Linked DNA regions of Alligator mississippiensis. The protein of the gene in region 2 interacts with the protein of the main gene of each other region in a biochemical or structural test. Links are inferred from orthologs where the notes say so. Each region holds a gene or a part of one and is shown on either strand. Other genes may lie near its edges.

Region 1 (15,589 bases), on a different chromosome or scaffold from region 2:
GCACATGCTAGATTTAGGCAAGAGTTTTAAGTTCTATATTACAAGTACAGGCAGTATTTAAAGGTTAAGTAGTCAAAGCTACTTCGCAACTAAGGAAGGATTTGTTGGGCTTTTTTTAGTTTGTTTTGTTTTTGCATAACTGCTGACCACTTACTGTGTGCTGTGAAAGAGAAAATTATTGTTCTTCATTATTGCACCCGAAGCACTGCAGCTACTGGATGCAAGTAAATCTGACTACTGTTTAAAAAAAATGCAGAAAAAAAAGAAAAGGGGGGGGGGGGGGAGGCAGAAAAAAACAAAACAAACAAATCAACCCTGATCACTGACGTACTAAGAAGCTCCTTGACCTCTTAAAACCCTCACCTCCATTGTGAAGGAATTGTCTAGGACCAAGAGATTTTCCCCATTACTGTATATTTTCCCACCCTGGTGAGGTACTAAAGAGTGATAATCCAAGGGAATGTAGTGCCATTCACTCCTACTGATGAGCTAGAGCTCTCAACAGCTACAAGCTCATGTATTTGTAAACAGATATTATATACTACCCATATTCATATCAATTTGTTGGCAGTCTTTTCTACTCACAATCTCTGAAAACTTTGATCAGTCTACACTCTGAACAGGCCAAAATAAGGAAAACACACAAACTTGTGCTTTGTAACAGTTTCTTCCTCACCTGCTAGCAATCTGGGCATCAGGCTCCCTTTGTTCAGATAGGATGGCACAGCATTTCCTCTGCAGCATGTTCAATACAGCCTGCATGCCAGAAAATTCCAATTTCCTATTCTTGTCCTGTTGAGAACTAGTAGGAATTGGCACCGATTTAAGTTGGGACAAGTCAGATGCTGGTTTACCAGTGGTTTAACTAAACATATGGTTTACAATTACCTCATTCATTATGACCTGCTGCAACAGAGTTGTCTTTTTGGAACTTGCTTGTGTTCACACTGGCTTTGGTCTCTGAACAAAGCTGAAAGATTTACTCCAAGAAATCCAATGAAGAATACATTAGCCCCTTACTCGAACACTAAAGCTGCCATAATTTGAGACATTAGCCAATACTCAGTTACTCACTACACCGGTTTTCTTAGGGTTGTTGCAGCACCCATTTAGTCATCTAGTTCACATACAACCCTAATATGCAGAAGTATAAACAGGCCTTTTAATCCTACCTAAATTTGTATAGAAGAGGTATAGTTGCATTTAATGTTAATACTAAGAAAGAAGCACCAAAGTCTGTTTTAAACCCCTTCCCCGCTCCCTCCACAACACCTCACCCCATGCCAGGTTAGATACCTCTATAAACGTGGCTTTGCACATCCTGCATCCCCTAGATACAAATAGCCGGATAGTTACAAAACTTTCCCAAGAAGCAACTCTGGCACACTGGCTTCCTCACTCTGTGGCAACTACATGTTTGAGGGTCCCAGTGAGGAAGTATGCTTGTCTTGCATGGTGTGTAGTTAGAGACAGAGAAAGTCATGGGTTCAGGTCCTTGTCCCAAATGCTACTTATGCATTTTCTCCAACAATTTCTGAAAAAAGCAATGCATATGCAGTCCTTGAAACAGAACCCAAGCCTCTGTCCTTTCAGGGATGGCTATTATCACGGAGTTGGAGGCATTCTTGCCTACCCTGTAGCCCAGCTTCCAACAGGACTTGAAGTGCTTAAAGCACTCCACTAGTAAAAACCAGGTCAGCTGGTTTTTCATTAGTCCACAGATGCCATTTTAAACTAAAACACAGCTTTCCATTTGCTCCCTACAAATGAAGGGAACACAGCTTTCCACATAGGGAAGTTCATTTGATAAATAAGCACCTGGTTATGTAACTGTCAGACTACAAGCTGCCTAATCTACAGAGGTGAGCTTCACCATTGTTGCATACCACCCTGACCCACTCAGCGATTCAGGATCTGGCAACTTTTCTAGATTGGATGAATTCTTTTGGCCTTACAAGGGTTTGAGGAATCTCTTTCGTTTCACCTTGTCAATACCAGGGTATATTTTCTGCTATCAGCATACAAGTTTCTCCATCTGGTGCAGTCAGTCAGAAAAACCAGGAGACCCATGTTGGGGACAAGCTATATTTGAGGCCAGCATTTGGGGGTGTCACTGCCATATTGCTGGCTTCTGGTGATTCACCAGGTCCAAGACCTTGTGTTTGGGAGGCTGGCAGTCCTGTACACTTCAGCAAGGTTTTGGGGTTCTTGTCATCCATGAGTCTTCGTGGTCAAATAAGGATCAATGGTCTCTCCTGTCACTGAGAAGCTGGAGGATCTCCAATCAATGTCTTAATTAGACTGTCTGCCTGAGCGTCGGTTGGGTTGTGCTGTCTTCAGTCTTGATACACAGCCTAAGGCAGATATGGACAATTATTTGGGCCCAAGGGCCACATAGGCAGTTTTGATGAGCTGTCCTGGGCTGATGACCGAATTCTTTAGGGACATAATGAAAGGACTTTAATGTCCTCTCCTCCTCCCCCAAGAACTCACCAGAACTCGTTCTGGGGCTGTCTTCAGGCAGAGAGCAGTGTTCAGGTGTGGGAGAAGCTGGAATCACATGCCCCTGCCCTCTGGGTGGGGAGGTGTACGTGCATGCGTGAGTGCGGAGGGGGGGCTGCCTGGACACTAGGTCCCACGAGTCTGCTGTGGGTGAAGGGGTGGGGTGGGGTGGGGGGGCCTCGTACAGCAGAGCTTGCCCAGGCAGTGCACTCCGCACTGCCCCCACAGTGCTCTGCATGGGGCTGAGCTCCGCTCGCTCACACTGGGGCAGCCTGCACCACACTCCCACCAGTGCCCACAGCCCAGCCAAGTGCTGCTCTGTGCCCCCTGCCTCCAGTGGCAACTCCTGCTCCTGGTCTTGCCCCTGCAGCACTGTGCCAAGTCATGTTGCTCCAGGCAAGCAGCTTCAACCAGGATCCTGCCCCTTCAGCCAGCCTCCTGCAAGGTGGCTGGGCACTGGGGCAGTAGCCCAGCTGAAGCTGCTCACCTGCCCGCCTGCCTACCCAGAACAGCATGATGTGGTGCAGCACAGCAGGGACAGGAGAAACTTCTGACCGGCTGTTCCTGGTGCAGCTCTGCACCACCCAACTCCAACAGCAGCTCTTTCTCCTACTCCTGCCACACCACTCCTGGCAGGCATGTGGGGCTCCAGATCCCAGATGCCTTCCACCAGAAGGCAGCCATGAGCTGAAGCTGGAGCCCCATGTGGTGGGGCAGGAGCCATCTGGCTGAAACTGCTTGCCCAGAGTGGCGTTGCACAGTACATCACTAAGTAGCACAGCAGGGGCAAGATCAAATCCAGAAGCCACCACTGGAGGCAGAGAGTGCAGAACAGTACTCAGCTACACCAAAAACAGCCCCTCCAGAAGCTCCACGCAGGTTGGGACCTGGCCCAATGGGAGCCCAGTGCAGTGTGCCCTAACGCAACTGGGCAGAGCATGGCCCCATGCAGGGTGACTGGATGCCGTGGGCTGGATCCAGTCACCTGGCAGGCCGGATCTGGCATTCAGGCCATATTTGGCCACCCCTGGGCTAAGGGACCAGATTTAGATTGTGACCAGCTACTTGAATTGAACCAGGAATAGTCTGTCTCAGTGAACAACTGAGCTTTTGGATTTTCACAGACTTGTTGATGAGCATGTTAAAGTCTCTCAGGATGAAACTTTAACTACAACACTGATGGCACTAACCTGTAAAGGAGCATGCAATCTGTTAGACCCGAATCATTTCTGCTCTCATATGAATTAAGCTTGAATTTTCGTGCTCAAGGCACCTCCCTTGCATTGACTGTTTGATGAAAAGATGAAGGCACCGCTGTCTGGCTTCTTATCCTACCTTGTCCTGCAATGAAGTAGTTATCCTGGAGGAACAAGTTGAGCTAGTAGAGAGTTCCCAGTTTCATCCAACAAGGTCTGACAATGCAGACTATGTTAGATGCTTCAGCACTGGTGTGGTCAAAGATTGTCTGCTGGCTGGCCTTGCCTTGTCCCACAAGGATAAGTCATGTCACTTTGTGCGGCCTGCTTCTAGTCGGCATGTAGGCAATAGAATCCAATTTCCTTTGTATACTTTACATTTCCTTAGCAACATTACCTTTACATTTCCTTTCCTCCTGATTTGAACTCTGAGTTAATTGTGTGAGTGAAGGAACAGATGTCCAAATCTACAGAGGCCAGGAGAAAGGCAGATAAATTGGATCTGGTTTGGAGTATGTCGAGGTCTGGGAGCAGGTAGATTTGCAAGCCTAGTGGGATAGAAGCAATGGAAACAGAACAAACACTGAACAACCACCAGCAACAACAACAGGTAGAATGAAGCACGGGCCAATGGCATCAGGCATCCATTTACCTGAAATAATGTTGCCATGACACCCATGTTGCTCTTATCTGGCTCTGGAGAAAGAGAAAGGAAAGCAGCACTTACTTGTCACATCTGAGTTAGAGCCGGAAAGTAGCTTCTGAGCCAGCAACTAGTGGCAAGGCTGAAAGAAAAGAACTGAGACTGATACCTCTGTTATAGGTTTCTTTGGTTGCTTCATTCCTAGAAAGGATGAAACTGATCCAAAAGGGGAGGAGTCACAGCCCCACCCTCACCTGTCACAAAACCTCATTAATGATGTGCAGAGGTGAAAGTGACTAGGAGCTGCTCTCAGACCAATTCCTGGGATGATGCCCACAGGTATAACCAGATATGGGGCATGGGCCTTCAGTTAGCATACATAGAAAAGAAGCTCTTTAGAGAAGACCTTATAATTGAAAGCCATGCATCCTTAGTAATAAACTAAATCAGATAGTCAAAATGGAGGTGCGAAAAGTTCACTACTGCAACACGACCACATCCCATGAGACTACATTCAAACAGTTTTTGTAAGATTTGCTCAGCACGCTTTCAAGCAAACACTTTTAAAGTGAAGAAATCTAGCCTTACTACAGAAGTTTCTCCCCCTAGAGCTCTTACTCTGTCGCACACGTTTTACGTAGGGAACCCAAACAACTAAATTAATCCAGGGTGCTAAAAGGAATGTTCATGTAATGCCTTAAAAACATGTGTGTCATTCTCTTATGGCTGACAATGAGTTTTCTTATTGTACCTCTTTGCTTGGTTCTCAAAGCCAGACTGTGGTATTTAGACATAAGCCAGTGGGGTACACACCAGCTGGCACCAGCCTCCAGTAGGACACTGCTAACTGGGTTTCATCAGAAACACAGGCTAGCACAGTCATATGCCCCCAACCCTCTCACCCCATCCTACAACAGCTCCTGGAAGAAATGGTATTTGACAGTTATACAACTTCTCTGCCACCCGGGACTCCCCAGGCTGGAGGGATCCCATAGCTAGTTGGATCCAGCTACTTTTAGACACTGGGCTGCAATACAGGAAGAAACCCAGTGTCTATAAGAAACTACAATGACATCAGCCAGGTTCTGTGAGCAGAACCAAAAACAGATGCGCTTTGCAATTAGGGAAAGCTTTCTGGACTAGAAGACAAAACACCATTGAAAGAGTGTCACAACTGGATTAGAGGATGAAAGCCAGATACATGGAGCAAGACAGGAGAGAATATTTGGATTATCAAAACCAAGGAAAACCACAGAAGTACCATAAGATCTAACACCCAGCCAGAGCAAACAGAAGCTACCTCTAAGAGCAAATAAGAGTGCAAATGAAGTACAGTACAAAAAAAAGTGTGTGTATGGGAGGGAAAATCACTGAAGGCAGGTGTACAAGTCTGCCTTTCTATCAATTCATAGTTCAGAACAGACACCACCAAGTGTTGCTTTCCAAGCTTTGTTTACCCTACACTGTGCAGCATTTTAAAAAGACAAATCGATATTTTTAGGGTTTTTTTTTAGCAAAGCAAGCTTCAGAATCAAAAGTTCGATGTATTGGTTAGAATAGAAATGCACACCTTGAGACCAAAGGATGAGAAAGAGAAAAATACGCTTCTTAAATAGCTGCATCTCTTCTCATCAGACCTTCTAGGTAAGGAGCACCGTAACTGCAGAACATGCTTAATATCTTTTCTCTTGCCTTTGCAGAGGAGGAGCCAACAGGAGTATCATTTCCACCATTCAGCCTTTGGCATTTGAGGCACACCAGTCAGGTTTTCTAAGCACCGTACACTTTTTTTTTTAAACCCGTCCTCATAACTCACTCCTTTTAATCCTGGGATTAGCCCTGCTGCCCTTCTCTGTACCTTTTCCAGTGCCGTAAATAAGGCAGGTCCATGCATGGAAGAAGAAATTAAGTTAGAGCTTTCGTGGTGGACCAAGGCAGCTTTTTGTAGCCGGAGCAGTTAAATAAAACAGCAACAAAGAATTAAAACATCCACCCCTGTAGGAAGCAGCAACCTTTCCAACCCATCATCCGAATGCAACTGAAGGAAAGAGGGAGAGACGTACCCAAACTTTGCCTTCCGTCCCACCCCTCTCCTTCAAGGAGACAAAACGGGCAGCGAGAAGCCCGCTTAGAGCTGCTCAGTAAGCCTGGACCCATGCTGCTCTGACATGCCAGCGCCATATGCTCCCGGTTCAACAAATCCAAACATTTCTTCCCTTTCCCCCCCTCTTCACGCACAGAGAGCACCGCTTCAGAGCCGCCTGCTGAATCAGCACTTGCCACCCCGCTTTAAATACAGACTTCTGCCCAGCTTCAAAAGAAAAGCGTTGGGAGGCTGGGATGGGTCGGATCCTGCCTCGGGCAGCCTAACTTCGCCGGGTCCCTTCAGCCCCGCTTCTCCAAGGCTCGGGGGGGAGGGGGAGAAAAAAGAAAAGAGGGGGGCGGCAAGGTTAGACAGACGAGCCCTCCCCGCCCGAGCCCGGGGCTGCAGCCCGTTCTCGATGGCAAGCCAGGGAGAGGCCGGGACAGCAGCGCCGAGGGGCAGCCCCAGCGGAGGCGGCTGCGAGCCGCTGTGCCCCCGCGGCGGGGACTGGAGAAGCGGCGGGGCGGGGGCGGGGGCTGGGGCGGCCGCGTCCCGGCGCAGGGGCTGGGGGCCCGCCAAGTTTGCAGCGGGGACGAGGAAGTTGGCGCACCCCGCGGCCACGGCTCAGCCTTACCTGCGCGCCCGGCCCGCCTGGCCGCTCCCCCGCTGCCGCCGCGGCGGGAAGTTGGAGCCCGGGCGGGCGCGGAGCAGCACGAAGGAAACTTGTGCGGCCGCTGCGCACACGAGGCGACGCCGCCGAGCCTGGCCTCTCCCCGCCTCAGCTGACTCCCCGGCTTAGGGTGCATCCCTGCCTCCTCCCACCGCCCGCCCCGGCGCCGCACGCAGCCGCAGCCGCGCCGCCCACGCCCGGCCTCCGCGGGCCGCCTCCGCCCGGGGCTGCCCCTCGCCCGCGGGCCTGTCTGCACCGGACCCCGGCCCGGGGCCGCCGCCAGGAACCATAAAGCCTCCCCGGGCAAGGCGGCGCCTGGGAAACTCCCGGCTCCTTTTCTTGGGACCCGGTCAAAGGCGGGGGAGATCACAGGGTCAGAGTGAGGGAGCCGAGGGGGGACCCCGAGCGCGGCAGCATGGACAGCGCCCCCGGCCGCCAAGGAGCCAGCGGCCCTGCCCAGGGAAATTGCCGAGAAGTGAGCTGGCACCTTTGGGGTTGGGCAGACACATTGGGGGGTGAGCAGGCACGTTACAGGTTGAGGAGACATAGGGGGTGGGCAGACACATTTAGGACTGCGCAGACAAAGGGATGGGCAGACACATTTATGGGGTGAGCAGACACATTTAGGGTTCAGCAGACGGGGTTAGCAGGCACATTTACTGGTGGGCAGACATGGGGTGAGCTGGCACATTACAGGTGGAGCAGACAGAAGTGAGCAGGCACATTTAGGGTTGAGCAGAGAAAGGGTTGGGCAGACACATTTAGGGTTCAGCAGATGTATTTGGAGTGTAAGCAGGCACATTTAGGGTTGAGCAGACACATTTAAAGGCTGAGCAGACATGAGGGTTGGGCAGACACATTTAAGGGTTGAGCAGACAGCGGTGAGTGGGCACATTTAGGGTTGCCAGCTTTCCAGGACTGCCTTGGAGCCTTCAGGAATGAGATGTAAATCTCCAGGAGACTGCTGAGAGTCACCGGGGACATAACTGATAGGATATTAGTTAAAATAATTATTAAAGGTTGAATCCAATTTATGCTGTAGGGTGGTGGGTTTTTAAAATGTAATAGGAACATGCACATGTCTTCCTGCCATAAAGTCTACATGCCCATAACCATAACCCAGAACTGATATATGCTAGCATGTGGGCATGTTGGCATTGTGTGTCGTGGGCACACTGGAGTTCTGGAAACCTCCCAGAATAGATTCAAACAGAGTCAGCAGCCCTGGCAGACAAGGGACAGGAAAGCAGTCCCTGAGAGTATCCCTCAGCCTGTAATGCAGGCCAATACCCACAAGGGAACGCTATAAGCCCCCCTTAAAAAAGGGAGGCCGCTAGGTAGAAAATAACTGATTTCTGGGAACAATTAAAGACAATAGGGCTGGGAGTGAGGTCAGAGGTTTAAAACAAGTGCCCAAAGGGGGCACATGAAGCATAGCACACCGGACAACACCCACTGGCTCTCAGATAAGTCCAAGGAGCTAGCAGACACTGCCCAGTGGTACTCTGCCCAGAGAAAGGATCACACCAGGGACAGGACTTTAACACATCAGGGGATTTCATGGCCCACCAAGGATACTATAAGCTCTCTTTTAGTACTGGGGGCCACTAGTGATGTGTGACTGGTTACTTGGGACAAATCATAATGAAAACAGGGACAGGAGTGGAGGTCAAAGGTTCATAACAAGAGTGCCAAGGGGAGACACCAAGCAAAGCACACTGGACAGCACTCACAGGCCCTCAAATGAGTCCAAGGTGCCAGTGGACACTGCTCAGTGATACTCTGCCTGGAGACAGGATCACATTGGGGATAAGAAAGCAGTCCCACAGTCCTCAGGGTCCTCTTGCCCAGAGCCTCCTTCCTGGTGCAGGCAGAACCCCAGCAGGAGGTTCTGAAGGAGGCCGTGAAGGGGCTTCAGCCTGGTGCACTCCAGGTAGGTGTGCTCCACGGTTTCCCTCTGCTCCACGGTCTCCCTCTGCTCGCAGAAAGGGCAGGTGTCAGGAGCATCCGTAAACCATGCCAGATACATGCCTGTGGCAACAGCTCCGTGTAGGAGCCGCCAGCAGAGGCCCGGAACAGGGGAAAGGCTGGGGCTGCCCTCAAGGCTAGCACCAAGCGTGGTTGTACTGAGAAACCATTCAGGCTATGGGGTATCCAAATGCCTGGGGTTGTTCAGGAAGAAGCAAGGCAGGCTGCAGAAAAAGGGCCTTGCTACATGTTGGACTCTGAGTTACTCAAATGCTGATTGGTTAGTGCTACCTTGAGTTTGGGAGCAATCACACCTTCTAGCTAAAAGCCTCCTCTGATTATTCCCCACCTGCCCAGCTGTGACTTACTGCTGGAGGGCTGGTGAGCAGAGAGCTACAGCTGGGACTTGCTGCTGAGACTTGCAACTTGTCCTGGTGAGCTAGGACACGTTTCTAGCCATGCTCTATATGTGGGGGGATGTGGCTGGGGGGGAGGGAGAAGGAACAGTAGGCTGTTAGCATGGTTGTATCCATGGGGGAGGGCAGGTCATACTCCCCAGGAAGGCAGGAGATGTTAGCTTGGTGCCTGGGCAGTAGAGTTCAGGGGATGGAAAGTTTGTCCACACAGAACAGGAGAGTAAGGAAAGGGACACTGCATCCTGGGGTGCTAGAGGACTGCAACTTGGGCAGTTCACTTGCGGGGCATGGCCACCCATTACTAGTTCATTCAATTTGATTGACATGATGTACCCAGAAATTACACCAAGGAATCTGTACCCTTAAAAACACTCTACCCTGTTGTGGTCTTTCTGAGTTCTTCGCAATAAAAGAATGGCTGTATGTTTCCATAGTCAAAAAGCAAGTGACAGCCGAAATAGCATTTTCTGATGAGTACCTGAAATTTAACATGGGGTGCCTTGGGTCTAAAAAGGTTAAGAACCACTGCTCTAACCTTTAGCAATTGAGATGAGGTAGATAAGTGGTACTCAACCATTTTTAGACTCATGGCACCCCTTGACAGACTCAAGGTCCCCCCTTCTAGGCTCAAGACATCCATCAGAAAATGCGAGCCCTTTGTGTTCACTTGTGTTTGACTATGGAGAAATCCTAGAGAAAATGACAGTGTGTTTCCCTGGGGAGAAGTAGCAGTGGCACACCTTATGCCGCTGCTACTTGTCCCCAGGGAATGCCCATGCCAAGTGTGCTCCGGTGTGTGGCAGGTTACACTGGGTGGGGTAGGGGAGGCTGAGGCCAGCAACTGTGCCTTACCTGGGGTCCTGGGGGCCTCCAGGAGCTGCAGCCACAGTGCTCCTGCAGCAAAGAGCCTGGCCAGCAGCCAGAGCATGGCTCCAGCCAGCCAGGCTCTGGTTTCGGGTGGTGTGCACTGCCATGTGTGCCGCCCCACTTTTTTCTGACATTGGGTTTTTTGATCCGGGAACCCAAGAGTCTCCAGGGGTCAAAAAACCCTCCACGCTGCAAAGTGCAGGGAATGCCTGTATGTGCAGTGTATGGGACAGGTCTGCAGTGTCACTTACCACAAGTCCACACTCATATAGATACGGCCAAAGAGGCCACATCAGGTCAGAATGGTTTTACCACTATGGATTCCTATTTGAATTTCTGGGTTTATCTTGTGAATTGTGTGTGCACACTTAATAGTGCTAACATTGAGTGGCACCCTGCAACACCCTTGAAAGGATCTCAAGGCACCCAGGCTGTCACAGCACCCTGGTGGAGAATCACTGAGCTAGACAGTACAAAAGCAGATATTTTAGGTAGGCAGCATCTAGTTCTGACTGCTGCCAGAGACAGGATTCAGAACCAAGTGAATTCTTGGTCTGATCAAATGCAGCTGTTGGTTTCTTCCTAACAAGGGTGGGGACAGGGTCATAGCATGATATTGGAGAGACCTGGCCAATACAGCTACCACTGGATCCTGATGTTCAGACACCTATTTTTGGCCACTTGTATCCACCTAACTCAAAAGGAGCAGCCAGAACCTTTGGGCACTGGGCTTGGAGCACTACAAAAGGAATGTCCTGTCTCATCCTGTGGGCTGAATCTGCAAGAGGGACATGGCCAGCTGTCTAGTCAGCAGGGAGTTTTTATTTGGGGGGGAGGAGGGGGGCGGCAGGGAGAGGAAGTGCAAAATGCTTGCAGGATGATGCATCTTGGGTGTAGTTTGGACGAATGGCAAAAAAAGACAGGCGTTGCTTGGGAAGCTAGATGCTGGGTAATGAACGGGGATGGTGGCTAGCAATAGGGGACAGGATAGGAAGTTTCATGAGGAAACACTTCACCAGGAAAGGTGATGTTAACATGTTAGAATTGCAGAGATTTTGTACATATTCTACAATCTTTTGGCAAATTCATGTGTGCATAACAAGTAACCGCATGACCTTTTTTTATCCTAGGCTGCCTGTCATATTTTCAATTTTACTCTCACTTATTCTCAATGCTGCCATAACAACGCAGGGAACACTGCCAGTTTGGTCAGGTGTATAACACAATGTGTCTGAACAAATAATAGTAATGGAACAAATAACAGTAATGGAAACTGCAGGACAGGCTTTCTATATTGTAAAGATTATTAGATTTTCATGCACTCCCCAGGATTCCCACGTAAGCACAATACCTCTAACTTTTCCAGAACACAAGGCATCCTGCATTTCACTCCAGATATCTCTGGGGCTGAGTTGTGAGATTCAAGGAAGAATAAGCAACTCATAAATTGCTATGTACTGCATATTACCTTCCAGAGAACCCAAGGCTGTCTTTCTTCAGGAGACTTTTAAAAAAATATGTACCATTTGTTTCAATCGAATGCATTCTAAAGGTGGGCGGGAGGCATTCTCTTAGCCATACATAGAAGAACCCTCTTATAGTAGGATTGGCTCTATCTATAGAGTAGGACAAATTCCGGTGGAATCAGGGAAAGTCCCAGTGCCCTTTGTTAGAAACAACTCAACTGCTATATTCATGTTAACATTGTTCAACTCTTCACTGAACATATTCTAAAAATATAACTCATTCATTCTATATTTCTTTTATTCTTTCTCCCTTTGCTTTTCCTTTAATCCCGCTGTTCTGTACACTGTTGTCTTTGTACTTCATCCCTTCATCACCCCCGTCCTCCTTCTCCCTGGATGTTGTACTTCTCTCTCCTCCTTCTGTGTTCTCATTCCATTCTCTCTGATGAATCTTTCCTTCATGCCCTTCAAAATGTTTTTTCCAGTTTCTCACACACACATCACCTGCTCCAACATGCACAAGTCACTCTTTAGTGAATTCATTGCGCACTTTCCTCAGACAGTCAGCTTCCCAAGTGTGACCCACTCCTACTCTATGCTCAGTCGTGTCCATTTCATTCACTGTTGACCCTCCTCCCTTTTCACAATACTCACCCCGGTCAGTCATTTTTCAACTTCCCAGTTTAAATTGTCACTCATCCACACCATCAGTCAGTCCTCCTGCCTCTTCACCATTCCCAATTGACCTAGGCATTTTACAGTTCTTGAGTGATGCTGTCCTGTCAAGTGGAGGGTAACAGGGACCACTCCCATTAAGATCCCACATCTGGGTGGAAGTTGCATCTTCATGCCAGCCAAGCAGTCAGGGCCCACAGCCCTTCCCTACTTTGAAGAGTAGGGAAACTGGAGGGCCATGGCTCTTTATTGCTACTCTTCTTCATGATTGCTGAGGCTTTTTAATACTTCAGGTCTTCCCTTTGATTGGGCTAGGATCCAGCCCTTTTGACCGAAGTTGAGGGTTCTACTTGGGAGGCCTTACCTTCCACCTAGCAGAGGACAAAGGCCCCTTAGTTGAGCTTGATGGTATAAATAGACACCTTTCCACACATGGTGTCTTCTTCTTCCATTCTGGAAACGAGCCTCTCCTCAGCAGGCCGTGTTCTGGACAGAAAATGTGGCTCAGAGAGCTACTGTAGCAGCAAAGTAGGCCCTCACAGAAGCAGCTGTAGAAGAAAACAGCTGGGAGATAGTGACTACATCCTCCCAGCTGCTTTCTCTTCTCTAGTGAGGGTGTTGAGAACTGAGTTCCTCATCACTGGACACCCTTGCTGCTGAGGCAAGGGTATATGTTACAAGGACAGGCCAAACCTAAGTGGCCAAACATCAAGATCTGCTAGCTGATGTTAAGTGTTGGTCAGACTTCTTCAGTCTGAAGAGTCTGACTCAGGTTACTGAAGAGGAACAAGACTCTAGAGGGGAACAGCAATAACATCCTGCCAGCCCTGCAGGAAATTGGGATCTTTCCCCAGTTGTCAGAAGACAATGGTGATTTCCTGTCTCCCTATGGTGAGGTTGATGTACTGCTTCTTGCTGACACCTGTCTAAAGTTGTCAGCCCGGACCTTCAAGTACAATCTGAGATTGGGCAGTGTCTCCTCTTACCCTCTTCAAGGCTGTGAGTGGAGAGGTAGCTGCTTCAGCTCCTCCTCCTTCTATTGGAGTACATTGTCTCATGGTATCTGATGCTCCTGCCTCATGTTGTCCAATGAACCAGTAGGCCTATGGTTGCTGTTATTTTATCTCATTCCAAGGTTTATGCAATTGCATTTAGTAGTTACATAGATATCTCACCAGTACACCTTAGTGTCACTTAGTAATATGAATAAATACAGACCTGCCAATTCCTGGGTCACATTTCTAGAAATGTGGGAAGAAAGACAATTCACTTCTCTGTTTCTAAGCTCACAAAGTCTGCTCTCAGTTCAGGCAGACCTACATCTGGAATTCCTAGATTCCAAGCTATCTTCCACCTTACTTGTCCGTAATACATTTTACATGGGTGTAGAGCAAAATAATTTGCAGATATGTTAATACTAAAAATAAACAACACTGTTACAAACAGAGTTACATACAATACAGAACTGACAGAGGTAGTCTGTTGTTCTTTAGTTTTTTCTCAGCAGCCATACCTGGCTCTTAATTCACATTTTTCTCCAATCTTCATGCTTTTCATCACACAATGTAACGCTGCTGACCCATCAGTTTATCATACCAAATAGATACCTAAAATTAATTTTTAAATTATCAAAATGTGAAAACATATTATTTTAAAAGATCAACATGTATATGCACTTTTTGTCATTAATGTTACATTTAACAGACAGTAAAATGACTTGTATTAGAGCCAGGTAGTTGATGGATTCCTCTACAACTGTTTATGACACTGATAAACAACGTCCAGTTGAATAGGTATTAATAGGGTGTCTGTACATATTTTTTTTTTATAGAAAATACCATTTTTGCTAGAAGATGATTCAAGTATTCACTTGTACAATATTTATTTGTCTCCGTGTGGCTCTATGGGAAAAAAACAGTGTGCGTAAGGAATATTTCCTGTACATTCTGGCAAGTATAAATACTAGGAAAGACATGTTTAGTTTCCTAGACTACAGCTGTTTTGTTTGAGACCAGACTATACTGTCATAAAACTGTTTATCAAAAATGGCACCATTAAAATGGTTAAATTTAGCAGTAGCTATACATCCCTGTAAGTGCAGTAAAAGGCAGATTTATGATATAGTTAGATCCTTCTCCCTTAACTAACAAATCTCTGGAAAAGCTGCAGTTATACTACATCATGGAAATAATAGCCAGAATGTAAAATAGCCTTCAGGACAACCCCATATTTCCTTGGAAAATAAACGGTAATTTCCTTCAATGAAAACATGCAAGAATTAAGGGTGACAAAAACATTCTGGCAGAGCATAAGCATTATTTCTATTCAAGGCTAATCAAAGACATGGAGATTCCTAAAATATTTCCATACTAATAAATTTGTCAGGAAAATAACGAGAGAGCTTGGATTTAAGGTGCCTGCCAGACATTCAGGTAAAGGCACAATAGGACTTGATGCACGATCTGCACAATTGCATCTCCTGCCATGCCACAGTTTCCGAGCCATACAGAAGCGTTGGAATGACAATGGCTTGATGTCATGATTTAAGAAGACTCTCTTAGATGTCCAAAGGCTGCGCTTGCACATTTCAAGCAGTGTTGTATTTCCATGTAGGATGTCTGCATTTGATGAAAGATGTCTTCCAAGATAGGCAAAGTGATCCATGTTCTCCAGAAATTCTCTGTTGATTTGAATGGAGGTAGGGTTTGAAGAATAACAAGGCAGCTGGTATTGACGGGAATATCTGCAGAGATTTTCAAAGGAGGAGGAGAACAACTTAAGTGTCAGCTTCATGTCCTCATCCTTAAAATCTGGAACAAGGAAGAAATCCCAGCCAACCTAAGGGAAGCCTTGATTGTTACTGTCTTCAAGATGGGGGACAGAGCTGATTGCGGAAACTACTGAGGAATCTCATTGTTGGCCACTGCTAGGAAAGTCATCGCCCATATCCTTGCCAACTGCCCTCTCCCACTTGTGGCAAAAATTCTTCCAGAATCTCAAAGCAGCTTCAGACCATCTCAAGGAACTGTGGACATGATCTTTACAGCACGTCAAATCGAGGAGAAATGTTGTGAGCAAAATCAATCTCTTTATTTGGCCTTCA
Region 2 (14,566 bases):
TTAAAAGACTTTTGGCATGCTTATGACTCCATTACAAGATCTACCATAATGAAAGCATTCAAAGGACTGTTTTTAAATTATCTTTGGAAAATCTTCTATCATAGTCCTTTATTCAAAAGGGGAAAAGATTATAAACATGAAAAGTCTTTTGGATCACTCTGCATTTCTCAGGACAAAGTGAACCCATCAACACTGGAAAATGACTTATTAGTTTCACAAAAATCAAGTATTCTGCCTTGTTTGAACACTAGGCAAATAAAGACCTCTCCAAATACTGCAAGACCCCAATGAGCTCAAGGTTCTATTATTCCATAATCAGCAAGTAACTGAGTTTACACTAAATCCGTAACGCAGATAAAGGGATGATTATTATTCTTCCTACTTTAAAGAGCAAGCAAGTAAGAGGCACAGCTGGGTTATGGACCTCAGATCTCTTCCATCTCAGTCCAGCGTAAGAACCACAAGACAGCCTTTCCTCTATTTTAATTGCTCAATTTATTCCTGCAATGCTTTAGATGTTTGCTTTCAAGAGCAGTTTTAAAACCAAGTCAATTGGGGGGAAAAACAGAACACAACAATTACATAATTTGTTTTGAATAATTTGGTAAATTTCTAATGTCAACATGCCGCCCCACCAAGTGAACACCAACAGCTTAGATTCAGAGATTTCCCCACTGTTTATTATGCCTCATTCGTAATATCCAACCACCCCTGGGTTGACTCTAGATTTTGTACATGCTAACAAGATTATGTTACGCAGCTTGATTAGCACAAATGCTTGCAGAAATTAAAAATTTTAAATATAAGCAGTTTAACTCTATTACTCAAAACCAGAATGAAAGGACTCGGGCCAATTACCAGATAGCTTTGCTGTTGGTTCTATCGCTGAAGAATTGAAGGTCAGGGTTTGATTATAGAAAAGCTGTTATTCATACAGTGTGTGCAGACAGACTCTAAGTGAACTTTACACAGAAAGTCTATGCAGGGAACACTGAGCTCCTACATTATTGAATTTTCCGAGCCTGTGATATACTTTTATTTACTGCTTCAGAACTAGGTGAAGCAGAACAAATAAGGAGAAGTAGAGGAAAGTGAATTCCTACTTACAGATTGTTTTCACAGTATAATATATAAGATGATACATTCACATGTAGTATGTACAATAAAGTTCAAACAACATTATTAAGGTTGTGAAATGAAACACTCAATAAATTTATTACCCCACAGCTGTTCAATAGCCTACAAGTCAATCATCTTGCTTTTTCTCAAAACCGCCAAGTCACAATTGTCACTTGTCTCTCTGTTAATCTCAACAGAAGTACCAAAAATTTGAAGTATAGAGAATGAATTAATCTTACTCCTATAGGGAAATCATCCAGAAAAGAAAAAAAGTGATCTGAGACCAAATTCACAATAACCAGAAGTGGACCTATACTTTAAGTAAGAGAGATCCTCAGGCCAAGGCCTTTAATGAACAACACTTTAAAAAGAGAGAAAATATTATTTTGCACTGTAATATTGCACTAATAGAAATTGGAAAAGGACATGCCATTGTCAGCCATTCATTGTGTCCTAATCTAGTATGCAGATATAAGATCAATGCTGTCATATAAACTGGTTGCTCATGTTAATATTATAAGCACTTTTGCCTGGTGATCAAAATCTACTGAATGCTGTGTTTGACATAAAATACTGGCTTATTAATAATTTTCATATTAATTTCCTTCATGGAATTTTTGTGAACCTTACGAAATACTGCCTATTCATAACATCAGCGAAAGGACTACCAACCAGGTTCCAAACAGACCAACTGACAGTACTTGTCAGACAGACCTGAAGACAATATTCCCAGTCATGAGCAAAGGAAAGAGATGATTGTAAGACTGGGTGAACACGAAGACCTCAACTTGCTTCTCCCTTAAACTAATGAGTTTTGCTCTCGATTTATACACCCTGTGATCTGCATCACAGGGCAATGAGCTCTGGGAAACACCCCACAAATGACAGAGAAGTTCTATAATAGCAGAAGGGTCTGCAAAAAAAAACAATATAGGCCTACTGGAGGACAGTCATGTGGCTTCGGAAAACTGTGCACAGAGGGTAGGGAAAGTGATGAGGTAAGCAGGAAACAAGCTGTCCCAAGCTGTATTATTTCTGTCTAATAGGACAAGGACATTTTGAACTCTCCTTTTATTTTCATCTTCCTTTCAGAACAATTAAGATATCTTGAAATCACTCTCTCTTTCTGTCCAAGTTCCATTTCCTCCTGCACCTTGGTCAGGGTTATAATCTAAACAAATTAGAATGGAAATCACATATCGCCCAAATCTCTCACTGCCAAGAAGATAGCAAGAGACAGGCATCCAGCCATATTTATGGCTGTTTTTACTCTGGTCCTTGACCCATTTGATGACCTGCTCCATAGCCTGATCTCATTAACACTTCCTTCTCATTAACATGAAGATATTAATGTACACTGGATACTCTTAGAGGGAATTACGTAGAAATTCTTCTACTGGGAAAATCCATTTTTTCCATCATGAAATACAAATAGCACAAACCAAACCACCTAATCTTTTCTGGGGGAAATAAATATCACTTTTTAGCTATGGGTTTAAGGAAGTCCCTCCTTACTCTATAAATATATTCAGAACAGAACTTATCATAAATTGCAACTCATCAAAATAAAGTACAGACAAGGAATCTACCAATATAAATCTACATTCTAGTACAGGCCTTAGCTGAATATCAAAACTAGTTTAAAAAAATCCTCTGTAGAATTTTATCAGAGTCAACTATAAAATAATGTAGTGGTTTGAATGGCTTGTACACAGCAGCACTTTAGTTACATTTCCATATGCAATATTTTCATGTTGCAGCAATTTTTCCTTCTACTGTTATGAGATATGTTTACAGTGGCAATGCTTGCAAAATTTATTCTGTCTGTTGATAATAGGTATAATGGATGTCCACTTAGAAAGGACTTCCTTCTAGTAATAAAAAAAATACATTCAAGGCTACAAATAATCTAGACTGTTTAACTCCTTTTATGCACAGGTTGTGTCCTTACTTCAATAAAGTCCCATTTTTCCTACACAATCACTTAAAAGGGACTTTGTAGAAACTAGTCAAAATGCCCCAGGCAAAATGACTGTATCCTGGAGTCCATGTACAAACTTATTTAAGCATTACAGCAGCTGTGGATTTATAAATAATTTTTGGAGATACATGCAACGCACCAGAACAAAAATGTGCATTTTTTTCATCTGACATTGATTCATGGAGAAACATCATTCCGGTTTCACTTGTTTCTAGGCTGTTAAAATGTCAGTATTAATGTAGGCATGAGATTCACACATTGCCTATTATTTACTGTGATGCAATAAGCACAAGTTGTCCTGCTTCTCTGTTTCAGAACCACCTCAAAGATCTGACGTGCCACGTTCTTCCACACTTAGCAATGCTAGAGAATCATTTCTAATCCCCCCTGCTAACGGTATACTCACCAGACTGGTTATTCCAAGTCGCTTGGTAAAATACATTCTTACCCAAGTTAGAGAAATATTGGCGTAAACAATTCAGCTGTGTACCCGTTTTCAGAAAGTCTACAAATTTCAGCTTTCAAGCATCCACAACCATGGATAAAATTCAAAGATGAATTAACAGGATCCGAGCATAAGCATATTTCTTTGCACTATCCTTCAGTGGGCGATTATGTACAACTGAAGTTACAGCATAGATGATAGGAGCTTGAATTGTTTCATATGCTATAGTACAAATATATTTACTGTGGAAGGCTCCTTGCGTTTTCTTTTCAGACAGAAAAATTTATAACTGAATCTCCTTCATGGCACAGGTCAAATATATACAGCATCACAACAGGGAAATTTCAGCTTCTAAATTGACTGAGGCTCCATGTGTATGGGGAATTTGTTAAAACACCCAAGACATAACACTCCTGCTTACCCCTGTTATCAATTCAGTTCATATTGACATAAATAGGAGTTGGTGCCACACTTCTAAACAAGGTGAAATACTGCTGCTCTCCAGCAACAGACACCAATATGACACTACTAATATGCTAGACTTCTTGAATTAACAATGAATATGATTACCCCAAGTTGCATTAGCAATTTTTCTGAACGACTATCTTCAACTTACGTCATTCAGCCAAACCTTTCAGTGATACTTATGAAGGAACAAACATTCAACACCGCCAGTCAGAACTGAGGGTCTAAACAAAATTAATATTTATATTAAGGAAAAGCTTAACCAGTAGGTGCTATCAAGCCATCCATTTAATTAGAACAACCTAATGTAAAGACTCCTATAACTTACTTCCATGTTATACATTTATTGTTTATGAAATTGCTTCAAAACAAATGTAGAAGACATGCAACTGATCAGTTGGATGATGCTGAAAAAATAAAGTAGTTTTAAAATACATGTTTAGGGAAAAACAGGTAGGAAAAACATAAACACAAGAGCAGAATAACACAAAGGTATAAAACTACAAGTCAAATTGAATAGCAATCAGACATAGAGGGAAATAGAACAAAGAGAAAGGTATATAAGGGGGGAGGGGAAGGGAATCTCAGGAGTATCTTCAGCTGTATCTACTACCTATCTATCATCATATTCCAATGCACCACCACATTAATGACAAGTTTATTCAGTGGGGCTAATTGGAAACCATTTTCAAGTGAATATCTGAAATGCATAACCTATGCCCCATTAATGTTCATCAAGGCAAAGAAGATGCACAACTTGGACTATTATGAACTTTGCCAAAAATGTCAAAAAAATTATTAGCCCAAAATAAAACGGTAAAACACAAAATAGAAATCACAGACTGTATGCATACACCACCACTATGGCTTAATCTTCTTTACAATAAAATGATTGTATGATATACGCTATTCCAGTTAACTTTTTAAATGAGTGTTTGGACTTAAGAAATATATTTCTTATCTACATTTTCTCAGAGATTTTTAAGATACCTGTGAAACCACAAGGAAATCTGAATATAGTTGGTAGGGAGTCACCTAAAAGGTTCTTCAAATTAAGAGAAAAAAATAAAGCAAGAATATGAAGACTTTGAAGTCTGTTTTGATTTCTGATCACTTAAGCTACTATGAATCTATTAATCGTAACTATTAAAAAGAGCCTAGGTGGGATGGGTAGGAATGAAAAGGATGGGTAGGAAAGAACATTATGTACGAATGATAAAAATTGAAGCCACCAAGATACCTCCCTCTATTAAAAAAAAAAAAAAAATCAACTCGTGAACTGTAAATTTTATTTATTTATTTATTGGGGGGGGGGGGGGGGGAGGGTACTGTTTCCTAGTAGGATTATGAGCTTGTGCCCTAGTCTCAGGGAGGACTGAGCCAGTTCTTTACAAAACACAAACTTGGATTTATTCAGGTAAACATCAGACATGCTCTGGCAAACAAGAACATATGGAGGCAAGGAAGATATAATGGATTTGCTGTTTGCCTCTGAAACTTAACAGCTGGGGAAGGCATCCTATTCATAACCCAATAACTTGTCATCTTGCAGTCCTTTTCACCTATCAGCACCATTTCATTTGATGATGCTTCATGCTCTAGGCGCCTGAAGGGAAAGTTATTAATAATATTAATATAAATGATTATAATACTAATAGTACTGCCAGTAACAACAGTAATGCAGAGCGTGAACGTTCATAGTCACTCTAGAGGAGGAGGAAACTCCCGGCTGCCGTCACTTAGTTTTAGAGCTGGGAGATGCGGAGCAAAACCCAAGAGAAGCGAGCGGCAGCGTTTCTCTGCGATTCCTGACCCCGGTGCAAGCTCCCCGGGCCTCGCTAACCCGGCACAAGCTTCCTGGGGAGGATCAGCTCACATCTACTTACCTTCCCAAAGCAGGAGGAAACCCACTGTCCACCCCGGGAAAGGCATCTCTTCCCGTCGTGTAATCCTGTTATTTCTGCCCCCGAGGCCGAGCGGTCCCGGGCAGGCTGCTGCCAAAAGATCTCACCAGGTTGCTCCCAGGGCCGGCGCCAGTGCGCTCAGCAAGGGCTGCCCCATGGGCCGGCGCTGCTCGCGGCTCGGAGGGGACCTGCTCGGGCGGGGCGGGGCGGGGCGGGGCGGGGCGGCGCCTTCCGCGACCAGATGGGAAATCCTGCCGCTGCTGCCGGCGCTGCCTCCCGCGTGGTGCGGGGGGCGGGGGGCTCACATCCAGCCCCGAAGCGCCGCCTCCCGGGGAGCCCGGCCCGGCCCGGCCCGCCGCAGGGGGAAGCTCCCGGGCGGGGCGGCTCCGGCTCCTGTCCCTTGGCGACGGGCGACGCGTCCCGGAGCCTGGGATGCTCGAAACGCTGCCGGCTCCTCGCGCTCCCGCGGCACGGCCGGGCCGGGCCGGACCAGACCTCGCCAGGCTGAGCCGAGCCGAGCCGAGCCGAGCCAGCGCCGGCGGGGAATGGCCGGGCCGCCCCTCGGCCCAGCTTAATGAGCAGCGGCCGCGGGGGAGGAGACGGGGGCGGCCAGCCCTCAACTTCGGAGGCAGAAACCCGGGGCGGCCCCGGCTCCCCGCTCTGCCACCTGCGCAGCCGGGCCCCGCCCCGCCCCGCCCCGCCCGCAAGGACACGGGTCCGGCAGCGCGCCGCGCCGCGCCGTGCCGGGGCAGGTGCGTGTCCCGCGCGCAGCCAGCGGGCGGGGCGGCCTAGTGCTGTGCCGTGTCCGCGGCCGGCAGCGCCACCCCGGACAGGACTCCGCTCGGTCCCTTCCTCCGGGGAAACTTCCCAGGGAGGTGCCGAGCCCGACGCTGCCCCCGCCTGGGCGCAGGGGTGTCCCGGTGCAGCCCGCGGGGTGCGCTCCAGGTCCCCCCGCCCCGCCCCGCCCCGCCCCGAGCTGCGCGAGGCTTAGAAGCGGGCTCAAGCACCAGCTGGGTCCGCAGGCTCCGGCCTCTCCCTGCTGCCCAACATATAGGCACACATCACTCCCACACCTTCCTACACACTCCCAGGCCCTCGCGCACACCCGCACACACACACCCACTGGCCCCTACCCCGTGAGCCCACACACTCCCACACCCCTCCCCTTGCTGCGAGAGCACCTCCGGGTTCATTCTGCCTTTCAGTCAGGGGCTGCATCACTGAAGAAGATCATGCAGCAGTAGTAGATCTTGCTCCGTTTCATTAACAGTGGGGTAGGGCAGAGGGGCTGTAACCCATTTAACCTGGACCTGGACCTTTGCCTAACCAGTGTTTAAATTTCTTCATTTGCCACTCGGTGGTCTTCCCCAATGCCATCAACCCGAGGAATCCTGCCATTGAACCACCACTAAAATTTCAACTTAATACTGCATTTAAAAAGGTCAAAATAAAAAGCAAGAGCACTCACTCCCGCACCTTCAGAACCAACAGTCCCCTGAGGGCCACATGCCTGGTTCCACTCTTCTTAGGAACAAGAAACTACAACAAACGTAGGAAAGGACACCTGGTATACAGTGGCAGAAAGTGCAGAGATGGTAAGAAGGAAAAAAAAGTAAGGGGAACAATCATGGCTGACACAACTATTATCTTTCCTGTGATCTGCCAGGTCATTGTGGCATTGGATAGTTTCAAGTTGCCAGACTGAAATCTTTCATTAGGATTGGTTCATTGTTATGACATATTCACATCTAGAAAACTCTCTTAGATTATTTTAGAGATGCTTACATTGTTTGGGGGTTTTTTTAACTCTCTGCCTCTTAGCCCTGTCCGTATGGACTCTGTGGTACCAGATGTCACAGGAAAAGAGATGCGAGAAATCCCAGCAGGAACAGCAAATGCTATTTTTTCCTGTTAATTTTTTGAGTTTGCAGCCCATGTGACTTCAGGAACATAATCAGAATCTGGGAGAACAGCAATGTGACACAGGCACATCTAAGGATAATAAGGGAGCGGAGAGAGAGCAGCTTCATAAGCGAACAGAGTTTGAAAGGAAAAGGGAAGGCACTCAATGGACAGTAAAATTATATGAACCAACCCTAAACAGCTTTGGTCCTTCAGCAGCTTTACTGATAGGCATACAACCTTTTCAAGAATAGGTGTTTTCAACATACCTGACAAAATGCAGGACACTTGAGAATGGCAGCAGGACATTCATGATGTCTGTATAAAACAAAGGGGGATACAGGTTAAAAAAAAAACAACATAAAAAGAAAAGCATTAAATCAATGCTTTGAGGAGAAACATTTTCTGTTAAGCTGAGATTTACCTTAAAATCATATTTAAAAGCTCACACTGTACACAAATCAATATTGGTGCCATCTAAAATAAGGCAATATCATCTGCATTGTTAAATGTCAATTTCTATCCAGGACACAAAGTGACTTTCTGGATGAAATTCAAGGACTTCAAATCTCTTCTGGCATCTTAGCAACTGCTTATAAAGCTACATATTTGTGCCAGGTCCAAGCTCCATTAAAAATTGCTTGTGGATACCATCAAGTTATTTACAGAACAGGCAGAGTGAAGGTTGCCATAAATGTTTCTTCGGAATTTCTAGACTTTTCAGGAGTCTTTAGTTGTGCATGTTTGCATGGCTGTGCATGAGCAGAATGAGGTCTGTCAGCAGGTATAAAAGGTATGTAGAACAGGCATGATAGTTGCTATCTTAGATGATACAGACACTGAATTAAGGACCACAAAAGCTCCGATAACTTTTAAAGAGCTATACTATATTGTTAAGAGCTGTTAATATCTTTATCCGGTGTGGATCATGCAGGTGTGTAACACACACACATACCCACCAGGAAGTTACAAAGGACAAGATGGGAACATGTAGTACACACTGACTGAGCTGTTGCTGTTGTCACTATTTTCTTTCCCATGATAAAAAGAAATATAGGTAAAAGGCAAATAAACCCTGGTAAAATGCAACAGAAATGGAAAATATTGCTTGTGTTCTCTCCATGGGGGTCAGGGAGCCACTCTCCTAGAAGACTGTCTTGAGTTGACTTCAACTACACATGGTCCCATGCTCCTGTTTTGAGAGTTCTTCACCTTCTATTTTTCCCTGCAACCACACGACCAAACAGAAAGATTGTGGTGCACCCTGGGAAATTTGGATCAGCAGTCACCCATCACGGAGAGGCACCAGAATCATCCCCCAACCCTTGCAGAGTTTGTACTCTAGCAACATTCTCATTCCAGAAACTCCAAAACAGTCCCTGGCTGTTGTCACTATAAAACCAACAGCTGGGGCAAGCAGAGCACATGCACCACCAGCAGCAGCAGCTCAGCCAAGACACTGGAGTTTCCTGTGTAGGTCAGGAGTGCTGCCCCCTGCCCTTCCAGCCCACCCCTCCCAGGTCCTGTGTCTCCCCACGGCCCTCTCCCAGCTCAGAACTGGGTGCCCCCCACCCCCACTCTCCCACAGATTTTGACCCAGGTGGCAACTCTGCCTGTTATACCACTGGTTTGGTTCAGCTGAAGTACAAAGCCTGGGAGCATGAGATACCCAAACTACCCTGTGACACTTTTCCCAAATATAAACATTTCAGTTTGGAATTTTTCACCCCAAACTCAAAATGACAACACTCTCCATCTCTCTCTCTCACCTCCCCACCCCCACACTCCCAACCCTCCTCCTACACCTATTTGGAATCCCACTGAAGTTAGCACAGGTCTATGATAATATGTTCCCTACCAGATCACATTCCTGGTATTAATAACTTCTGTGCAGCAATTCACCTCCACTGTCACATACATAAAATGTTAATACAGTTTGCTTGGTTCTTAACTGAACCTTTTTGAAAATGATGCAAAAATCAGATCTGTTAACTGTGGAAAAATAAAAACAGCTGTCCTTTATTTGCTCCATAAGTACAAGCTCCCTAATAATGTCTCCCATCACTCTCCCAGCAAAAATAATTAGAAAATAAATTGACACTTTCCTGCAGGCTGCTGTGATTGTTAAACTATAGCTTATTACTCATTTATTTCTGCTTTGCTTTGAGTCATTAATTTAGCACTGCAGACTGAATTATTAAATTATTGTATGATTCTTTTCTAAAGGCACCCTGAGATGTTTTGATATGATAATGCCTCTTACAAACTGAAGCTGCTGCAAGTAGTCTCTTAGTTTTTTCTTATGCTATGGCCAGTTAGCAAAAGACAATTACATTCAGAAACTCACCTATCTTGCCATTTGCTTTAAATGAACAGTGACAAAACACTTTTAGTAACCAATATCTGATTCCTGATGAGCTGAACATTGTTTGCTTGTTTGTTTTCATTTAATTACAGCAGACACATCTCTTTGTTTATTGTAGGGTCTTTCTGTGCTGATACCATTTATTTCCTAAATGGTTTAAAAGATAAAGAAAAATGGTTTAAAAGATACAAATATTGTATATAGACCAAGATCTGTTCTTTGATGGAATACTGGTTGCCAAACTTTACAATTGGTCTTACATGTACATCAAGGACTGCACTGAAAATAATCTGCTCCAGGCAGAATTTGCAAACAGAGGCTAATGGAAAAAGAGACAGGTCACATTTTGGTACTAACAGTCTGTGACAGTGTGTTTTTTTTGCAGTGAAGGCAACAAATGCTGTTATCTGTTTCAGCTCAACCCTGTCCCACCATCCTACTCCCCACCACAAAGACCCTTAACTCAGATTTGTGCATATTTTGAACCTTAATGGTCTTGCATGCCAGGGGTATGGATTAAATGTGGTCTTTAACTCACGTCCCTTACAGTGAGCATTTGAATGTAATCTAAGTTATGAAGTTCTCTGACACATTCCCACGGTTCTCTATGTGCTATATTGTGTGTTGTTCTATTCATTTGAGGAGGTTCTACTCATTTGCCTCCGATATGCTAGCTAAGTGCCAGTTTATATTACTTTGCTCAGCATTTAGCTCCCAGTACAGTTGTCATTTCTGCACAACTTAGCTGAGTCAGAAAAGATGTATCCCAGAGACCTTCATCACAACATGTCACCAACTGGTCAGAGCATCACGCCAGGGAGTGAGTGTAGCAAGCCTGAATTTGGAAGATGTAACTCCAAAAAAGCTAGACATAGCATCATAAGGATGATCATCCATCTTTGGGAGAGAATTAAAAATCTCTACAACACTTACTGTTGGACCCCAATTTAAAAGGTTTGATTCATTAACAGTTTTCTAAATCCTACAATGTTTTCTACATTTTGGCAATTTTTGTAACAAAATAAAATGGAAACATTTATTTAGGCATCACTGAAAAATATTTTCACCTTCTTGTTTTTATTTCCAGCCATAACTATTTGCATCCAAAATCACGGTTAAGTTTCTCTGTAACTGCATTTATTTTTTCTGAATAAACCATTCACCCACTCTAGAGGTTGAATTGCATTGATTTTGGTGGTTTACAGACTTCTTCTACAAATCCTTGGTTTTGGATGGGGGGGGTTAATTTCTGGAATATTAATTACAGTATTTTATAGTGACCTGAAGAAAAATGCTCTGCACTCAAAAGCTTGTCTAAATCTATCCCAACTGCTATGTTGCTCCAATAAAAGATATTACGTACAAAAAACTGGCCTCTCACATAACTGTATTGTAGAAGTTCTTTACTGTATCAGTATGATCAGTATGCAAATGCTTCAAAAGCAATAAAAGAACAGTTTTCCTCCAACATCAATGGATTACTCAGTCACATACAAATAGTAAAATTATTAGTGAGTTATATGGTATATTAGTGCATATGCCAACATCAGTTTTCCCCTGCCACAAAGCATATGGGTTCACAAAGCACCCTTAACTTCTGATGAGATGCACATTCTAGAGTTTTTTTTCTGATGACAGTACTCCTGGCAAACATTACATAGTGTGCAACACATCCCAACACCACCAGTAACATTGGCATGCTGGTACTCAGGTTTGCAGTTGGCATTGATTCACCTATAATCATAGAAAATTAGGGTTGGAAGGAACATCAAGAGGTCATCTAATAAAACCCTCTACTCAAAGCAGGACCATCCCCATCTAGATCATCCCAGCCAAAGCTTTGTTTAGCCAGGTCTTGAAAACCTCCAAGGATAGAGATTCCACAACTTCTCTGGGTAGTGTTTTACATCCCCCTTGTGAAAAAGTTATTTCCTAATATCCAACATAAACTTCCCTTCCTGCAACTTGAGATCTTTGCTTTTTGTTCAATTGGGAGCCGGCCATCTCCCTGGCAATTGGGAGCCTGGCCATCCAGACACCCCAGAAATAGAGGGGGATAAGAGCAGCTAGGACCAGCTGAGGAGGAGGTTCTCCTGAGGTAGTGAAGGGCCAGCGGTGCTACCAGGGGCACATGCAGACAACGTGGTCCACGGATGGGGCTTCCCTCACACCTTGCTCTGGGACTAGCCCACACCCAGGTGAGGGTGACTGATAATGTTCAAGAAATCAGAACAGATTTAAGAGAGGTTCCCAAGCTACAGTGTGGGCAGCTGAGGCACCAGTATTGCAGAGTGGAGGATAGACTTTGGAGACCCCAGAGGACCAGCATGAGGATAAGTGAAGCTCTTTTTATTTTATTATTGTTACTTTTGGATTTTCTAGTTACAGACCTGAGGCTGGGAGCCCAGGGCTTGGGAAGAATCCTGTAGCCTGGCGGGGCAAGCCACAGGCCAGCTGCCTGGGGAGGCAAGGGTCCTGGTCAGTGAATTGTCAGCCAACCCACCACAGCTCGAGTAAAAGGGGTGGGGTGTGGCAGTACACCTGGCCCAGCACACAGAGCAGCACCCCTCAAGTCACAGCTGCTCGCCTGATTCATAGTGAAGTTGATACAGTAACATATTCCCTGAGATATCAAGAATACAAACTTGCCATCAGGGGCCCCACTGCAGCTTAGGAACCTCCCTTAAATCTGTTCTTATGTCTTGAACATTACGGCTAGGTACAGACAGTCAAAAAGCCCAAAGCTAAATCGAATCAGTTTTTGCAGGTTAGTCTAAGATTCACAGATTAAATTGAAACAGAAGTGAACAGACATTTATTTACCTTTGATTCAGGGAATGCAGCCACCTGCCTGCAGTGGCTCAGGCCAGAAGCTGGGGGGGGGGCGGGGTGCTAGAGCACAGCTGCTGGTTATATGTTCACTTCCTCTTCCTGCTGCCCCCAAGGTCTCTAGGATTTGCAGTCCAGAATTATAGCAGCAGAACTCTGTAGGGTTTCTCATCACTTCTTCCTCCTTCCAGGTGCCTCTGAAATTTGTAGTACACAGTTACAACCAACAGTAAATTTGAGCAGGGGAAGAGGTGTTTAGCCTCCCTCCCTGGTCCCAGTTGAGGTTTGCCTGTGGGGACAGGGTGGGTGGGGGGAGGCAGTCGCTCCCTTACAGACTGGGCTGCACCCCCAGCCGGACTTGCCCCCCCACCCCTTTGGTCAGCTAGCCCTCACTGCTCCAGCTAGGGAGCTGAGGGGTGGGGCCAACCCTGCTCTCTGGAGCAGACAGCCCAGTCCAGGGCTGAAAAGCATGCTGGGATGCTGGGGGACTATGATTTAACTTGAACCAGGAAAGGGTTTGGGACAGAAGTTTCATAAACCCATTTGACCCATTTGACCCAAAGTCTGATACTACATTCAAATTTTATCTTTAACTAGTTTCAGCCATTTTTAAACTGATTTATGTGCATGGAACTTCTGTTCTGTTACAAGTTTAAACCAGTTTCTGATCACTTAAACCAGTTTATGTGTAACTTCTGTCCCTAGTCTATCAGTGTCCACTACCAATGGATGAAGAACAACAATAACCTCAAATTTCTACCACCAAAATACCAATAGTTGACTAGATAGCATAAAGCTGGTAGTTTATAGCGAACAGTTTCCAAATGGTAGCAGCAATCTGACTCTGAGCTGATATGGTTTTAGAGACTTGTGTGCCCTGAGCTTCAAGGTTCAGTGCAAGCTTTTCATACAGCACCATGAAGGTAGCCCCTCATTCAAAATATGTGGAGCAACCATTATTCATTCCAAATCTGCCCGATAATGCAGTCCTACTACTCTATGTCTGCCTGCAGTCATGCTGTTTCATTAACTGCACAAAGAAAACCTATGAAATCACAGACAACATGCTTTTGTTGCAGCCTTGGCTTTCCTGGTATGCTCCCTACAGGTCTGGTCCTGTAGGGAGCATACCAGGAAAGCCAAGGCTGCAATGGAACTCCAACTAGCTTTGAGCATCAAGGACAATAAAAAGTCCTTTTTCAGATATGTGGGGAGCCGGAGGAAAAGCAGGGGCAACATTGGACCCCTGCTGAACCAGATGGGGCAACTGACAACTGACGCCCAGGAAAAAGCCAACCTATTAAATAGGTACTTTGCATCAGTCTTTCATGCGTCCCATGGGACGCCCATGCCTGCTACAGGGCCGGGAAGTCCGGGTGAGGGTGATCCCCTGCCCTCCATTAATGCTGACTTCGTGAAGGAACATCTTGAGAAGCTGGATACCTTCAAGTCAGCCAGCCCTGACAATCTTCACCCCAGGATACTCAAGGAGCTGGCAAGCATCATAGCCCAGCCTCTAGCGCGGATCTTTGAAAACTCTTGGCGCTCTGGTGTAG

The links.
Region 1: the proteins of RET (region 2) and GRB10 form a complex in vitro, tested with the Homo sapiens proteins (2 studies listed by BioGRID). The link is inferred for Alligator mississippiensis from reciprocal best matches to the Homo sapiens genes RET and GRB10.

Annotation. Positions count from the first base shown.
Region 1 is NC_081828.1:91,952,973-91,968,561, reverse strand, and holds the start of GRB10 (growth factor receptor-bound protein 10), read right to left. Parts: upstream 7,215-15,589; 5' UTR 7,059-7,214; intron 4,484-7,058; 5' UTR 4,426-4,483; intron 1-4,425.
Region 2 is NC_081829.1:34,601,646-34,616,211, reverse strand, and holds the start of RET (proto-oncogene tyrosine-protein kinase receptor Ret), read right to left. Parts: upstream 6,346-14,566; 5' UTR 5,943-6,345; coding exon 5,897-5,942; intron 1-5,896. UniProt on the Homo sapiens protein: Receptor tyrosine-protein kinase involved in numerous cellular mechanisms including cell proliferation, neuronal navigation, cell migration, and cell differentiation in response to glia cell line-derived growth family factors (GDNF, NRTN, ARTN, PSPN and GDF15).